Linked DNA regions of Lonchura striata. The protein of the gene in region 2 purifies or fractionates together with the protein of the main gene of each other region. This does not show direct contact. Links are inferred from orthologs where the notes say so. Each region holds a gene or a part of one and is shown on either strand. Other genes may lie near its edges. The genes, in order: POLR3H and POLR3F.

What was found.
Region 1: the proteins of POLR3F (region 2) and POLR3H purify together in Homo sapiens (affinity purification with mass spectrometry; 4 studies listed by BioGRID and IntAct, with this or other methods). This does not show direct contact. The link is inferred for Lonchura striata from reciprocal best matches to the Homo sapiens genes POLR3F and POLR3H.

The regions. Positions count from the first base shown.
Region 1 is NC_134607.1:58,367,273-58,375,499, reverse strand, and holds the start of POLR3H (DNA-directed RNA polymerase III subunit RPC8), read right to left. Parts: upstream 3,120-8,227; 5' UTR 2,928-3,119; coding exon 2,817-2,927; intron 1,660-2,816; coding exon 1,563-1,659; intron 1-1,562.
Region 2 is NC_134605.1:22,422,032-22,429,481, forward strand, and holds the start of POLR3F (DNA-directed RNA polymerase III subunit RPC6), read right to left. Parts: upstream 3,079-7,450; 5' UTR 3,057-3,078; coding exon 3,001-3,056; intron 2,598-3,000; coding exon 2,480-2,597; intron 2,174-2,479; coding exon 2,106-2,173; intron 1,962-2,105; coding exon 1,894-1,961; intron 1,625-1,893; coding exon 1,512-1,624; intron 974-1,511; coding exon 830-973; intron 1-829. Other genes in the region: DZANK1 (double zinc ribbon and ankyrin repeat-containing protein 1), read left to right, coding at 4,116-4,224, 4,856-5,009, 5,932-6,049, 6,344-6,440, 7,202-7,311. UniProt on the Homo sapiens protein: DNA-dependent RNA polymerase catalyzes the transcription of DNA into RNA using the four ribonucleoside triphosphates as substrates.

The DNA.
Region 1 (8,227 bases), on a different chromosome or scaffold from region 2:
GTTAGTAAACTATAGTCCTCCCACAGGGTAGCAGCCATTAAAACAAAATCCCACATCCTATATGCCCTCTAAAACACCCAGTTTCTTTTACAACTTCTTCAGAGGCACTGATTAGATAGAAAAATGGGAATAAGAGATCTGGTTCCTAACTGGTTTGTACATATTCTGGCAGCAGCTGGATCAGCAGTGTCCTGTTCCCAGCTCCTCAGTTTTGCAAGAAGTTCACAGAGAGAAAGTGTAAGATGATAAACATGGAGCATGGCTGGCTTCTGATTAAATTATGATGGAAGCACAATGTCTCACAGTCAAGAGTATCAGTTGAAATTATACTTTCTTGTAATACTTCTGCCTTTTATATTTGTCTGCAATGCTGTATTTCCATTAAATTAAATCTTCTAAATCAAGTATTATCAGATTAAACAAGGTTCTCTAACATAACTGGATTTTTCCTCCAAGCTAGATAAAATGTTTCTAACTAAGTACATGGCACTTACTACAAGAATGCTACACTAAGACAATCGCAGTCAAACAATGCTTCTGAGAAATTAAACATAATTTTAGTTGTACCTCCTCAGTGCTCCTCTTTTACATAAAACTAGGCAGTGCATTAAAGAAAGAGTTATTACCAGACACAGCGGGATTTATCAAAGTGTTACACCAGATTCTGAAAGCAGACTTTTTTCCCAAACTCGGATAGAAAAGTTCTCTTCTTTCAGTTCAAGGAGTAATTCTAAGTTGAGAAGCTGAATGGAGATTAAAGCAAGCAGGAAAGCCTATCCTCCTTCAGTATTAGAAAAGCTTTTATTTTTAGGAAATGAGTTCTACTCCCCTTAGACAAGGGGAAGCACATAGAGTCAGTGCAGTTCCCTTCTAACAGGAGATATTTCATGTGTTCAACCTATGATTTCACACTGTAAACTGAAACCAGAAAAATGCATCTCTTACCAGTTTAAACCTTTATTTTAACTTTAAAAAATGAAATTTGCTTTTATGCACTTACTTCCAGTTTTCACTCAGATTTGCCAAGAATCAAAGTAAAGAAATGAGTAATTTCTTATTAAAAGAAGTCACTAGAAATGTATGATGAACCAATCTAGTTTCTACAAAAGTGTTGTAAAACTCCCAGCTAGTACAAAAGCATTAAATGCTGTGCAAATGCTACATGTAGAAACAGGTTTCTTATCCTAGCTAGGGAATATGCTTCATAAAGAAAAAATATCAGAGAAATGCAAACCAATTATTACAACTTATTTTCTATGTGCAGACTTTCTACCTTCAATTAAATTAACCCTCTTCTTACCCCACACCTATGGCTCTAACTGTAGAACAGAGATGGGCTGCTGGAGAAGGCAAGAAGGACTGGCTATTTAAAGCTGTATTTGTACCCAAAGCAGCAAAGAAAATAAGAGACTTTCACCATGTTCCTCTTGCCCTCCTAACAGGAACAGAGCTAAGGCTGTCAACTTAACGTTGTCACTGTCTCTAACAACTGAACTCATCTTACATTTCCAGATCATTAATTAAGCTTCTGCAACACAATGTAACTGAGGAAAAGCACTTACCCTTCGTATGTGATGCACCATCCCCAGGAAATATGTATGAATCTTCCAGTTTTGTGATATCATACAGACAGATGCAGAGCCCAACATTGTATACAACCTGATAAAAGAAAAAAAAAAAAATCAAGAGCAGTAAATCAAGCAAACCACCAGGTAAAATCAAGCAAACTATGGAATTCATACATTTTGCACACCTTTTCAAAGGGCAGCAATAGAGGGACGGAGGTTATTTTGGAACACTGCCTTCAACACCACCAGCAGCATAGGGAAACCCCAATCCAAGTGTTGTGGGAACACATTTTCACTGGCACTGGAAAAAACGCTGCTACAAAGAGAAACCTTTGGGGAAATTGTCAGCGGTGAGAGAACCTGAGCTGCTAAGACAGTAAAGAACTCCCCATCATTCACCAGCCTCAGTTTGTCCAAATGCTAAACACGCTTTTTGCTAGAGTTGCACTCTCAGAAGCCTCCAGGCTTGCCTTTTATCTTCATTATATCAGCTCTGGGGAGACACAGGGCAAACTCTTGGTTTCTCTGCTACTTCTGAGACAGCTTCACTGTCTATGAAATTTGAGGCATCCACCAGTCATCAGTGGATGAAGGAAGACTTTTGCTTTTCATAACCTAGATCCCTTCAGCTTGCTCTTTTGAGCTCCTTTCACATTTACAGCTGCATTTTTTAGTTTTGCACCTGCTCCATGTTGAAAGCCGTACACTTATCACAGTCCTGGGACTGCACAGGGAAACTCTGACCTCCAGGGCCACAAGAAAACACTTTTTATATGCTGCATTAAAGACTAATTTCTTATTGCCATCATGTATTTCAATTAATAAGCACAGGCTAAATCAGCTACTAACAGCATCATTTCTCTTCCAGTATTAGTGTTCGACATGTGTTTATATAGTTGTTTTTTTTCTTTAAATTCCCCACTGGATGGATTAGTTTGCACTTGTTTTTCAGGCTGCGTTTTGGATTGCTTCTTTTAACACAAACCAGCAGCTGCTCTCACTTCTCTTCCGTGCTCCTCTGCCCCATCTGGTGCCTCAGTATCTTCCCATTACAACATCAGCCATTAGAAAAATGTCCCCTTTGAGATGATACGTGGCTGTCTCTTTATTTACAGTCGCGGGGGATGGCCTTCACATCCAAACAACTCTGACATCTCACCCGCGCACCTCAGTAGGCACAAACACAAGGAAGGAACGCTCGGGGACGTTGCGATGCCTACATCAACCTATACGTGACCCCTGTTTTACCTTATTGGCCAATTTCTTGTTTAGCTCTTCAGCAATAGATTCGTTCAGTTTCCTTTCAAACTGCCAGGGAGGAATTCTTACAGTGTCAGTCATCTCCACCAGGACAAACATGGTGGCGGGGGGCGAGGAGACGCCAACCTCGGGAATTGGAGCGCTGCGAGGGCCAGGCTGGGAAGGGGAAGGCGCTCCAAGGTGCGGGGCCACTCCGGTGGGGCGGGGTCCCGGCTATCCCGAAGGGATCGGGCGCGGGCCCGGGAGCGGGGCCGGGAGCGGCCCTCAGCCCCGCCGCACGCGGAGCCGCGCCGCGCGCCCCCGCCACTTCCGGCGCCGCCGCAGCCAATCGCGCTCGGCTGGCGGGTCGCGCGCCCTGATTGACAGCCGCAGCCGCCATTTTGTCCCTCCTCGGGCGGGGCGGGCCCGGCTGCCCCCGGAGCGGGGAAGGATCCGAGGATCTCCGGGTTTGGGCTGGTTTTGGCCAATATAAACGCGGAAAGGGGCTCGGCACCCTGGCGTCCTTTGCAGGGATGCTGTGTAGTTCGCTCCTTCCCCTCCACCTCCAGCAGGTGGGTACCTGGGCGCGCTCTCCTGTGCCACAGCTAGAACAGTTCTCGACTGCGGCTATTCTGGTTTAATTTATCATTTTCGTAACCTTCAATCCAGATAAGGCAGCAAAGATCACAAAAGCACGGAACAGGTCAGATAGGAAGGGGCCACGGTGGGGCATCTGGTCCAACCTCCCTGCTCAAGCAGGGTTGATAAATAACACAGAGAATAGAAATTTTCAGACAGTCTTCTATGTGCCCTGTGCAGATAAAGAATGCCTGCTTTCTAATGCTTCAGATTGTGCTAGAAAGTGTTTTCCAGACATTTTGATATGGTGTTCATCCCAAAGCACATGGCACAGGAATGGCATCCAGAGGGTTCTTGGGCTCCCTCTCCAGTGAGGGAGACTCCACAGCCTCTCTGGGCGATCTGTTCAGCGGCCGGGCACCTGCACGGTGAAATTGTTCTTCACGGCCAGGTGGAACTCCCTGGGCACCACTTTCTGCCCCATTGCTTGCTGTGCTATTGTTATGAATGGATTTGATGTCTAAGCTTTTGTCTGCTTACCTCCTCACAGTTTGGAAGTTCCCTTGTTCATGTAGTTGTTAGTTCCACCCCTATGTATTTGCCCTATACCCAGTTTGCATCCCCAGTTAACTCCCGGAGCCTCTGTATCCCTTCCTGCCGTTGACACCTTTGTTAAAATCCCTTATAGAAGAAATCCTACCAGTTTGTTTTGCTGTTTCTAGTAGTTTGAAGCCCCTTCTGTCCCTTACACTGCGTCGGTTAGTTCAGAAGCTGCTCCCAGGAAGTTGCTCCCAGGGAAGATTTCCCGTTTCCCAGAGAGCCTAGTGTCTACTGTATATCAATTTTTGGACTTCAACATAAATCGGAATATAGCCAGACAACAAGCCAAGAGCAGAGACAGCAAAATGATCCACACCTACGTGCAGGGAAAGTTTCCAGGAGCTGGAGAGGACCCGCAGAATTTCTGAAGCAATTGCTGTAAGCAAAGGAGCCAGAGCGAGGTAAAGCCCCTAGATCAACGAGTTGCAAAGTGAATCTTTTGACATATCCTTCAAGGGCAAAGACTCCGATCCGTCGCGAACCCCGAGCCCCCACCCCCATAGGCTATCCTTTTAATAAAGGCCTTCTCAAGAAAGGAGCACAAGGTCTCCTGGCCCGTTTATTTACTTCACTATTGCTTGGCACCACCAGGAAGAGTCTGGCTCCAAACTCTTGGCGCCCTTCATGGACATACACATTGATGAGGTCCCCTCTCAGTCTTCCCAAGCCTGAACAGGCCCAGCTCCCTCAGCCTTTCCTTGGAAGAGAAGATCTCCAGTCCCCCCTTACCCTTGTTACCCTCTGCTGGACCTGCTGCAGGAGCTCCATGTCTGTCTTGCACTCAGGAGCCCAAAGATGAAAGTCTCTGCCATTTCTTCAGCTGTTTGCCCACATCTCCAGCAAACCTGGGTGGGTTTATAATCTTTGCACCTGGAAGTCCCTCACAGCTCTGTCTGCCCAATGCTTAGGTCAAGGATTTTTTCAGGGACAAACTGCCACCATACAGAGCTGGCATAATTTGTGAGTGTTAATTGCCAAAGAGAAACCAACCCCCATGGTATAATTTTTGAGGCCTCGGTGTGTTCTGCAGTGAGGGAGAAGCAGCATGAGGGATGGCAGAAAACAAGGGGGGTGCACTAACGTCTAAGGTTTGTCAGGGAAAGTGAAAGGAGGTTGTTTGAAGTGTGCTTAAAAAAAGATCCACCAGGAAAACCAAACATCCCTGGCTGACAGTGAAAACTGCACTGTCAGCATCATGGCTTTGATGCTAAGGCTAAGTGTGTCATCCCCCACGCTCCCCAGCAGCATGTGGTGGGACAGTAAGGAGAGCACTTTAGGTAAGAAATCATTAAACATCGAGTTGTCTGGGAAAGGGAGGGTGAAACAAGGTTGGAAATACCCTAGTTAGGCCTCATTAAGAAGGTACCTGTCTTGGATAAGGAGGTGTTGATTTCTTCTTAATTACTGTGTTTCATTAGGGTCTATTAGGTTGTGGGGATGTTGGTTTTTTTTAAATAAACATGGCTGGTCTGCCCATGTTTGGCATGTTAGTATTAAATAGTGGGCCCAGAAATAAGATTTCCCCTGTCTCCTGGGAAAAGCAGCATTTTTTCTTGGAGCAACATCTACTGTCTCAGCAAGGAGCTTTGCTGCCAGCACAGCAGACACCACTCTATCAGAACACCTCAACCCAAATCCCTAGTGTTTCTTGCTTTTCTTGTCCTACTTCAGGGAGCCTTACAAAGGCTCCTTTCTCCCACACTGCAGTCACAGCTGCACTAATCTCGGCACAGCACAGTTTTGTTGGCACATATGCTGCATCCCTTGCTGTTCTGTCCTGGCCTCATGTAGGTCTGGCAATGCAAGGTTTGACCTTTACCTAGTGCAGCTTTTGCAGGTGTCTATAGCTACTTCACTCAGAAGAGGAAATTGTTCTCAACCCTGTCCTGACAGCAGGGGAAGAAATAGCTTTGGTATCAGACAAAGAGAATTTAGGCACTGCTGGTTTTGGCAAGGTGATCACTCTGGATGCTTGTATATAAGAACTGTAGGGTTAAGTAGGGGCATGAGCTCAGGGAATAGTAGACTGAAATACCTGGGGGAGCATGGGAGATGGAGAGAAGTGGATTTAGACAGAGTCATATCATGCTTCCATTTCTAGCGCATTCTTGAGCTAATATTTTCCATGCTTCCAATAACCATGCCCCACTGGGGGCTCTTGGGTGCCCAATACAATCAGTCACATCTCCCTTCAGCCTTATCCACAGCCCCCAAAAAACAACTGTGTGAGCAGCAGGTCTGCAAGGCTTTGCTTCATACTGTCTTGGGTCCCGTTGGTGAGGTCTTTCGTATGCTATGAAGTGCTGACACCAAGCAAGATGTGCAGGATCTCTCTCCTATATCAGTTCTGTGATTGCCAACAAGGGCTGAATGCTGTGGGCCACTACTCAGTAAGGACAATAACATTCTTCTTCTCTGTGCAGCTGTGTGTTTTGCTGAAACTTGCAGGTACTTTGATTTCATGCTGGGGAAACTGAATTGTGTGCAGAGAAGGCTGGTGATGGCAGTGTCAGATAAGCTTCACTGCCTCCGCTACCAGGCTACAATCACCCCAAAACCAAGTCTGGATTTCAGTGTTTCAGCCTCCACCAGGAACATCCCAGGCTGTGGGAAATGATTTCCAGTCTCACTTTCTTCAGGTAGCCCCTCCCCAATCCCAAGTAGTGCATGCCTGGGCTGCCTATGCATGACAGATGTTGCTCTGTTCCCACCTAGGTTTTCTCCTTGGAGGATTTCCATATTTCACAAGTGCTGTCTTCAATGTAGAAATATAAACAAAAGCCAAATTATGCTCTGTAAAATATGGGTGTTGCCTCAGCTAATGGTAGTGCTCAGAGTTATACTATATTTATGGCTGCTGCTGAAGTGTCTTGCTGCTGGAGATGATGTGAACAGCTTTGTTTTGCTGACTTGTCTCCTCCCAGTACTACTGACGTGGTGAATACCCAGGAATCCACAGAGCCTGTACATACCTGTTTATGCACAGCCATAAAGTCTCTCGACTCTCTTTCAGCAGTATTGGGGCTTTTCCAGTATTTCAGAGCATGGTTCTCAGTTGCTGGGCTGTGGGGGTTTTTTTTGTTTGTTTTTTTTTTTTTAAGCTTTAGCTGCTGGAATCCAGGAGTTGAAGAGTTTTTCTGTCCCTCAGAGAAAATACCAGACATTTCTCATTCTCTTCATTGTACAGAAAACCTGGGAAATAATATTTGAAGTTACCTGGAGGGTTGGAACCTTTGAGGAGAATGAAAGAAGCCCCCAAATTACTTGGTTTAAGATCTCCTCTGTCCCCATATGCCCATGGCTCTTGGAGAAAACTGTCTCAGGGATGGTAGGGGAGGTGAGTGGTAATTTGCATCTCAACAGTTCTAGGCCTCCTTTGATTGACTCCAAAGGAATTATGTATCTTCTCACATAAAAAGTTCTCCTCACTCCTGCCTTTGCTTCCATCTCTGCAGGCATCTCTGGCACCCCCACTCCCACTCTCTGTTTGATCAAAGCTTCCCCTCTTCTCCTTTTATCATTTTTAAATCATGCCTGCTTTAGACTCCCTGCCTCCTCTGCTGCAGCACATGCCCAGTGTCACCTTCCAGCCAAATGTACTTCAAGCTCCTGTGCATTTTCCATCAGCAGCCTTTATGTGGGAGAGCCAAAGTTGTACCTCCAGAAAGGAGAAGCCATCTCAGGAGAAACTCAGAAGGGAGACTGAGAGCTGGCTGGGGCCTCCTCCCCTTGTTTTGCAAAAGTTCTGAAGAGAAGAATGGAGAGATAAGACTTGTGGTATCTGTAGGGCATGAATGTGGCTCCTGTTCTGTCCTGGAAAACTACTTGAAAAGCCACAACAGAGTGTGATGGACAATGGCAGAACCCACTGGCACTTGGAGTTTCAGTGCTTTTTGGTGTCCTTGCCATGGGTTGTTCTCTTCTGCCCATGGAGTTTTTTTCTGCATTATAATTTATTGACAGGAGAGAGACAAGTGCTTTGTGATCTCATCACTCTGTCAAAGCCCTTGGGACAGCCCCATATCAACACTCAGGACTGGCATGGATGGATGGATGGATGGGTGGATGGATGGATGGATGGAGGGATGGATGGAGGGATGGAGGGATGGACGGATGCATGGATATAACCAGGTGGAGCAGTTGTAACCCTCTCTCCTGACTCTCTGCCATGCCTCATGGTTCCCACACAACTTGTGCACCACCCTGCAGCCCTGAGGGTTGTTTCTGGAACAGGTCTATTT
Region 2 (7,450 bases):
TTATACGGGGTGGAGACTCCAAAATGAGTTATCTCCCCTTTAGTTTTAACCAATCTTCTTCCACCAATAAGAGACAAAATGAGAGAAGATAGAAAGGGGAAAAAATACTAAATAAAAGCTAACGGCCTCTGCAGTTCCTGAACTTCCATGAACAACAATTGGGGGGGGGAGAGGGACAAAACCAAACTTGGATAATTTTATTTAAAACAATTTTTGGCCAAAAGGCTCCTATGCTGCCAAAAAAGCTGGAAAAAACTTCCGGCAAGTTGCAGATCTGCCCCCTCCTGGACAAACAAACGACAGGTGCTGGAAAATCGTGGAGAGACGACCTGACTCCTCCTCGGCTGGAAAAGGTATTGCAAAATTCCCTCTGGAGCAGCTTCTCGGGTATCGACTTGGAGCTCCGCCCCAGGCAATCCCCTCGGGCACCCAGGAAGAACAAACGCACTCCCCCCATGATTTCCCGTTTCTAAAGGGATCCTGCACCTCCCTTCCAGGATAAAACACACAAGTTCCTCTTTCCTGGGTTGTTTGTCTTAGGGACAGTAATACTCTTGGGCAGGCTGGCACACAGAAGATAAGGAGTACACAATTTTGGGTTATCTAGGATAGGCTGTCATTGGACCTCAGGGATAAAAGGCTTCCCTCCTTGCCCAGGGTGGAAAAGTACCCATCATTAAATACAACACTATTCCACCTACTGTGACAAAAATAATAGTCCAGCAGAGATTTGCCAATCTAGCTGCAATAATGGCCAACCCTTATGGAAAACCTAAGCCTTGCTTGGCACCTGTTTACAAAACAAATGGCGGGTGACTTTGGCACGTACCTTACTCTGCAGAAACTTAAAACACTGTTGGTTTAACACCTCCACAAACTCAGACTCGAAGTCCTGGTCACTGTACCAGGCCCCCCCAGTGACGGAGCGATCGGGCTGCAGGTTATACAGCATATAGACCTTCTTCTTGGATGCCTGTGGGAGGGAGATGTGCAGCTCTCAACAATTCCTTCCTTCATAAGGAAGGACTTGTATCCAGATAATCTGCAAAAGAGGTTTATTACTCTTATACCTAAGGCACAGCAAGCCACCTGACTCCAGGTATCCTGAACCTGTTTGTCCCTCAGGTAACACAGAGATAAAGAGAAGATCAACTCATTTTGATTCCTAATCATTTTAAAACATAGTGTTGGAAGACTAGATGAACCCAGCATTTTCACATGAACACAAAAAAGCCACTGCTTTGCTATGTCCAACTTCTCCACCCACACCTGCTTTACCAGACCCAGTGAGAACCACGTAAGTGAAGACAGCAGAGAAGCTGACCTGTGGAGCCAGTATCTGCTGCACCTCAAACCTGCACACTAAAGGTACAGAGTCAAACACTGGTGCACAGCCAAAGAGAAAGCTGGAGGTAAAATGAGGTTTCTCTGTCCCCAGGCCCCTGTTACAAGCATACAAAACATGAAGCAGATGTTTGAAATTGTTACAAAGAGAGTCACAAAATACTCACTGCCACAGATTTAACTGCTTTAATTAGTTTCTTGCTTTCCAAGTTTTTCAGTATCTTGTTGATCTCTGTTAAAGGCAGATTGCTTTTGTACCTAATGTCCCTGCTCCAAATACCTGTTAAAAAACAGAGAAGTGAACAAAAATAAATAGAAGAAACCATTTGTTTCCACATATACCAACCAAAAGTCACATCAGAACACTGCTTGGGTTGCTTGTCTGCCACTCCCAGCAAAAGGGAAGAAATGGAAGAGATTAGGAAACAAGCAGGTATGGGGCATTAGATTTTATATTTGTATTGTCTGAGCAAGCATTTGTGACTTTGGACAGAAATGGTCCCATAAGCAAACAAAGTTAGTACCATTCACAATCATAATTTAAAGTACCTTTGTTGCCTGCGTCCTCTATGATTTGGTAAACCAGCTTCTCTTGATTGTCAGAACCTTTCATCTTACTGTAAAACAAGACAGACACCAGGATTTTTGAAAGGTCCAAAATTTGAAAGAAGTTTGATTTGTTTAAAACAATAATTGAAGTTTCATTTGTTTTAAACAGGAATTGTGTTCCAAACATACTTACCCAGCAGACACAGACTTACCTTGCATTTTGGGAATCTTTGATTCTGTACAGGAGACCTGCACTGCTCCTCAGAAGGTCCAGCTGCCCCTAGGAGAGATGGGCACAATGCATTTACTTTCCTTCAAACAGCTTGTTTCAGAGGGTATTTTAGAAAAATATTCTGAAATTCTAGAGCAAAACCATTGTTTAATGTCAACTAAATAAAGAAAAATAAAAACTAATGTTTCTAACCACTGGAAACAGTAACAGCCTTGAGGATATTTTTTTCCCCTGACAAATTTCCACTTATCATCAGCTATCAGAAATAACAAACAGTTCCTGACCCTCCCCATCCCTAATGGGCCTGTGGTTATGTGTGTGCTGAGGAAGATGAGGAAGGCGGGCTGTCCCTACCATGGAGAGCAGCCTGTTGATGGCCACAGCTCTCTGCTGGGCTTCCATGTGAGGCATGTCATTCTGGATCACCTGGTCCGTGATGCCATGGGGGAACTGGTGGCAGAGTTCAATGATCCTGCAGGAGGAGAGAAGCGACTTTAAAAGCCATGTTCTGCTGCATCCAAACCGTACTGGAGTCAGGATGGAAGAGGGTGACAAGAGCAACTCCGGGGAAAAGTATCCATCAATTACTTCTTGAGGGAGCTCGGCACCAATCCCTGTGCACCGTTTCCCTTTCCAAGACCAGAAAAACTCCGGGACAGCCGAAAGTGACCTGACCCAACCCTCACTGCCCCCTAAGCACCTCCCAGCACGAAGCTCCCCGTGCCCCTAACAACCCTCTCCTCCAGCATCCATTTCCTGGTTAACACTCGAGCGTCGAACCACCCCACAAAGGTCCTGAACGACAACGCCCCGCCACGCCTGCTTCCCCCAGCCCCAAAACCCGTCCTCTGCGGCCTTCACACAGCCACCAGCACCTGCTCTCGATGTCCATGGGATCGGGCACCTCCGGCTTCACCTTCACCTCCGCCATGGCACCGCGGGCTCCGGCGCGCCGAGATGACGTCAGCGCCGCGCCACGGCGGCGGCGGCGTCCCTGGAAACGGAGCGGCGGGCGAGCAGGGCCGCACGCCGGCGGTGGAGCGGGCAGAGCTGTGAGGCCGCGCCCTGGAGCGGCGGGGAGCGGGCGGGGTGGCGGTGCGTCCCGCCAGGGATGCGATCCCAAAAGGCTGGAGCGGAGCCTGGGTGTGCCAAGGGCGTGAGGGGAAGGCTGAACGCCCGCTCGGGTCGGGGAGAGCTGATCGCCCGTGCTTGGTGGTGTGTGTCAGGGGATGGACCAGGCTCTGCTCCGGGGTGCCCGAAAATGAGACAGGAGGCGACAGGGAGAATCTGGGACACGGGAAGTGCCGCACTTGCACGGGAAAGGTTCACCCTCGCCCTGTAAAGGTGGAACAGATTGCCCAAAGAGGGTGGGGAGTGTCCCTCACTCCTGCATTGATGAGTAGCATCAGAGCTGTTTCTGGAGCCCTGGAGGTGGTGACAAAACCAAATCCTTGTAGCACAGACGTGTTTCCTGGCCCTGAGTATCAATTCCCAAGATCTGGAGTACATATCTTTGTTTTGTAAAATGTCATTGTATCCAAATGCAATTTTTCACTCTTGAATTACATGCCATGATAATGACTATGTATATCAGGATAAATCAGGTTTTCATGGATATATTCTGGATCCACATGATATCTGGCATAAGCTTAAGAAACAGCTGTTTTTCTTTAGTCCTTTCCAGGGCATGCTGTACTCAGGTGGCCATAGTGGGACGAGGCTGGTTTCACATATGACATGGTGAGGGTGGAGATTCCTGTCCCTTACTCCTTCCATGTATCACTGACATGAGGTGCTGGAGCTGTTCTAGCTCAAACACACAGAATCACAGTCACAGGATGGTTTAAAGAATCCAGTTTTCTCTCTTTTAAGAGAAACAAATGAAGACCAGGAGTCATGCTAAATGACTGTTTCTCAGTGCATTCTTCTTTTTAGTTAAATGATTGTCTGCCTTTTTACTTTTCTATTTTAAAGATCACTGCTGAGAAAAATGACAGCTGGCTCTGTCTCAGCTCCTCAGATCATCCCACTTCGAATCCCACCTCCAGGGAAAGCTCAACGGGAAATAGACACAAATACTCTCATAGAAATAAAATCAGGTATGCACAAGAGCTTTAACTCCACCTCAAACCTGTACTTATGTGTCCATTTGAAATATTTGGCATTTATACTTTTTTCATATTTAGTCATGATTTTTGTAGCATGCATTTCATTAAGGAACTTAAAAAGTTAACTAACAGGTTTGATGCACCAGATACACTTGCATGTAATTTTATTTATCGCAACAACATTACTGACATATGTGTAGCAGTCTTAATTGCTTCCAAGGCCAAACTTTTAAGCTGTTGCATTTGGCTTTGACGGCAAAAACAGTTCTTGAAAGAATCATGTGCCAGGCTCACTCCCAACATTGTCGTTACAGTTTTTGAATTATCACCTTTTGCTGTGGCAGAAAATACCCTTTCTGTTGTTGGAATGGACAAGCTGCTGCAATGTTTGTGTGCAAAATCGTTTTACAGATACTTTTCTGTCAGAAATATTGCTTATAATGAAATTGCTTTTGTTGAATAACTGATATTTCATGGAAGAAACAGTTTTGATCCCAAATATTTGGTCTCTTATGGAACTACTTTATTTTCTTTATGTGAGCAAAATCAAGCACTGTAGTGAGTAATTTGTTTTTCCAAGGTTGCCTACAGTCTGAGGAATTACTTTTTCTGTTTCTTTCAGATACACCTGAGGCCTCTATTTATTACACTTTAGATGGAAGCAAACCAGAACTCATTAGGAAACCTGGCTATGGACCACATAACACTTTGGAGTATAAGGGTCCTATCATATTACCAGTGGGGAAAATAATAGTTAAAGCCCTGGCAGTTACAAAGTGAGTATCCTGTTTTGGTTTATTTTTGGCAAGGGACAGACATCCCTGTCACAGCTTGTGTTGTCTAAAGCGTTCCATACCCTGCAAGTGAGAGATTAGCCTTTCCCCAGGCAGTTTGCAAACTCGTGAATAGCACTGAGTTGGCTTTCTCAGGATAATTTTTATCCATCAAGTGTTTGTGTGATTGGATAACCTCTTGGGTGTTTTCTCCTGGACTCAGAGTGTCCAGTGATCCTGGAGGCTGTGGGTGAGGAGGTGATGTACTGAGAGCTCATCCTTTGGAGTGTGACCATCAGAAACACCAGAGAAACCAGGCTGGTGTTTCTGGGGTCATCCAGTGGTTCAGTGGATTTATAGAAGCTGGTTTTCCCAGGAATTTGTTTAGCTTCTCCCAAAGGATCACAGAATGCCGAACCTCACAGCTTAAGTATACAACGTTGGTTGAAGCAAAAATACAATACACGAAAAGAAAACTGGATTTTGCTGCACTGCCACTGACTTTGTCAGAAATAACTTCATGCTTAGAGACAGAGAAAGGACACATCATTTCTCTGTCTGTACTGTATTGCATTATCTTTTATTTCCAAGGGAGCAGGAACTTCCACTCCACTTGGAGATTTGTGTCTGCTGTTCCCTGTTAGCAGCACCTGCAGTCAGCCTGTGCTTGTGGCTGCACTGCAATACAACAACATTATATAACACTCAAAACCTAGGCTTATATTTATTTTCTTGCCATCACTGCCTAGACTAACACTTATTTGCAGTCTGTTTATATTAAGACATTTTCATAGATTCACTATAATGATATAAATAAAAGCTTGGAAGGGATGTTCCACCTAATAAGCCACATCCATCAGTGATTTTCATGTTGCAGCATACAGGTCTGTGTTGGATTCTTAGCTGTGGGAATATTGATTTTCAGGGACTACAGGGAGAGTTCAATTGTGACAAAGGTGTTTGTGGTAGAGTACCAGCAACCAAACATCCTTTTCCCGGTTGAAGATGATGACAAGAATTTCCTAAAAGATATAGCCACACAGGTAAGTTTTGGAAATTGTAACCCCTTGTGTGATTGTAAAATGTTGTATATATGATATTACTTAGAGATTAAGCTTTGACTGCCAGTTTTATTCACATATATAATTTTCTCTGTTTGCCCATCTTTGCTGCTTTGGTCCTTTCTGTAATATTAAAATTAAGCTTTTCGCATGCTTGCATTGAAAATAAATACCTTAAACATGTACTTTTAAAATTTTAACAAATAACTATAGCAGGAGAGGATGAGAGCAAAAGCAAAAAAATGTATTTGTAATTCAAATGGAATTACATTTTAGAATAAGGAAGGTGGAACATTTACTACAAAACCTAAGAAGAATAGACTGAATGTGGAAATCAAGCCTGCCTGGGATGAAACATCCCAAGACCTTCAAGGTAAGTATCACTTCATAAAACTGAGATAGTCTTCTATTCTAGCAGAAAGTTGCAAAGAGTTTCCCTCTTGTTTTGCTTGTAAAATGTGGGTAATTTTAAAATCCTCTCAGAAGACAGAGCATCCTGTGGAAATTCCAGTTTTGATTGCTCAACACTGCAAATAGAGAACAGAATTTACTTTGCATACATTTCACATGACTTCTTAAAAACATATTAAAACATCAATCATTTCTCAGCAACACACCAAAGCCCTGTCTGTATTTCCCTTTGTGCCAGAAGATGCTGTTAAATTGATGGGATTGCAAATCCTTTACAGAGTTTCTTTACTGATGTTTGCTTGCAGCAAGATTCCAAAATAAATACACTGAGCAGAAATGAAAGCTTCACCCAGATTTTCTCTGTAGATAAAGTCTCTTATTCCTTGGCAACAGCAATGGGACTGTTTTAGAGCAGGTAACTGTATTAATGTTTACTCATTAGTTTACTCTTAGGAGCTGGGATTTTTCTTCCTTCATGCAGGAAGGAAGAAAACTGTAAATAAATTAAAATACAAAAGTAAGCTCTGTCAGAGAAGTGTGGGGGTTCTCCTAGTTTAATTTCCTGTGATTCTATGCAGCTTATTTGAACCCAAAATGTGCATGCCAAATATGTTTTTGATTATGCTTAGTGAGAGTATGTAACATTCCTGTTTAGATATCTATTAACTGCATGAAGTGGGTGACAGTGGAATAACAGGATTGTAATTTTAATCTTGGAAACAGACAGGCCTTCTCACAGGTCCCCTCAAGGACCTCAGCTCCTTGCCAGTGGTTTGGGAGCTGCAAAGCACAGAGAGAAATCCACTTCAGCACAACCAGTGGAGTCATTGCAGGTGAGCAGAGGGCTAGGCGAAAGTTGTGCAAGGCTGTCATCAGGACAGAGGTCTAAAAAAAGGAGGTGAAGATTGGTGATCTCTCTCAGCTAGTAATGACTTTGCCTGGATTCTACAGTCCTGATTTAAATGCATTGGT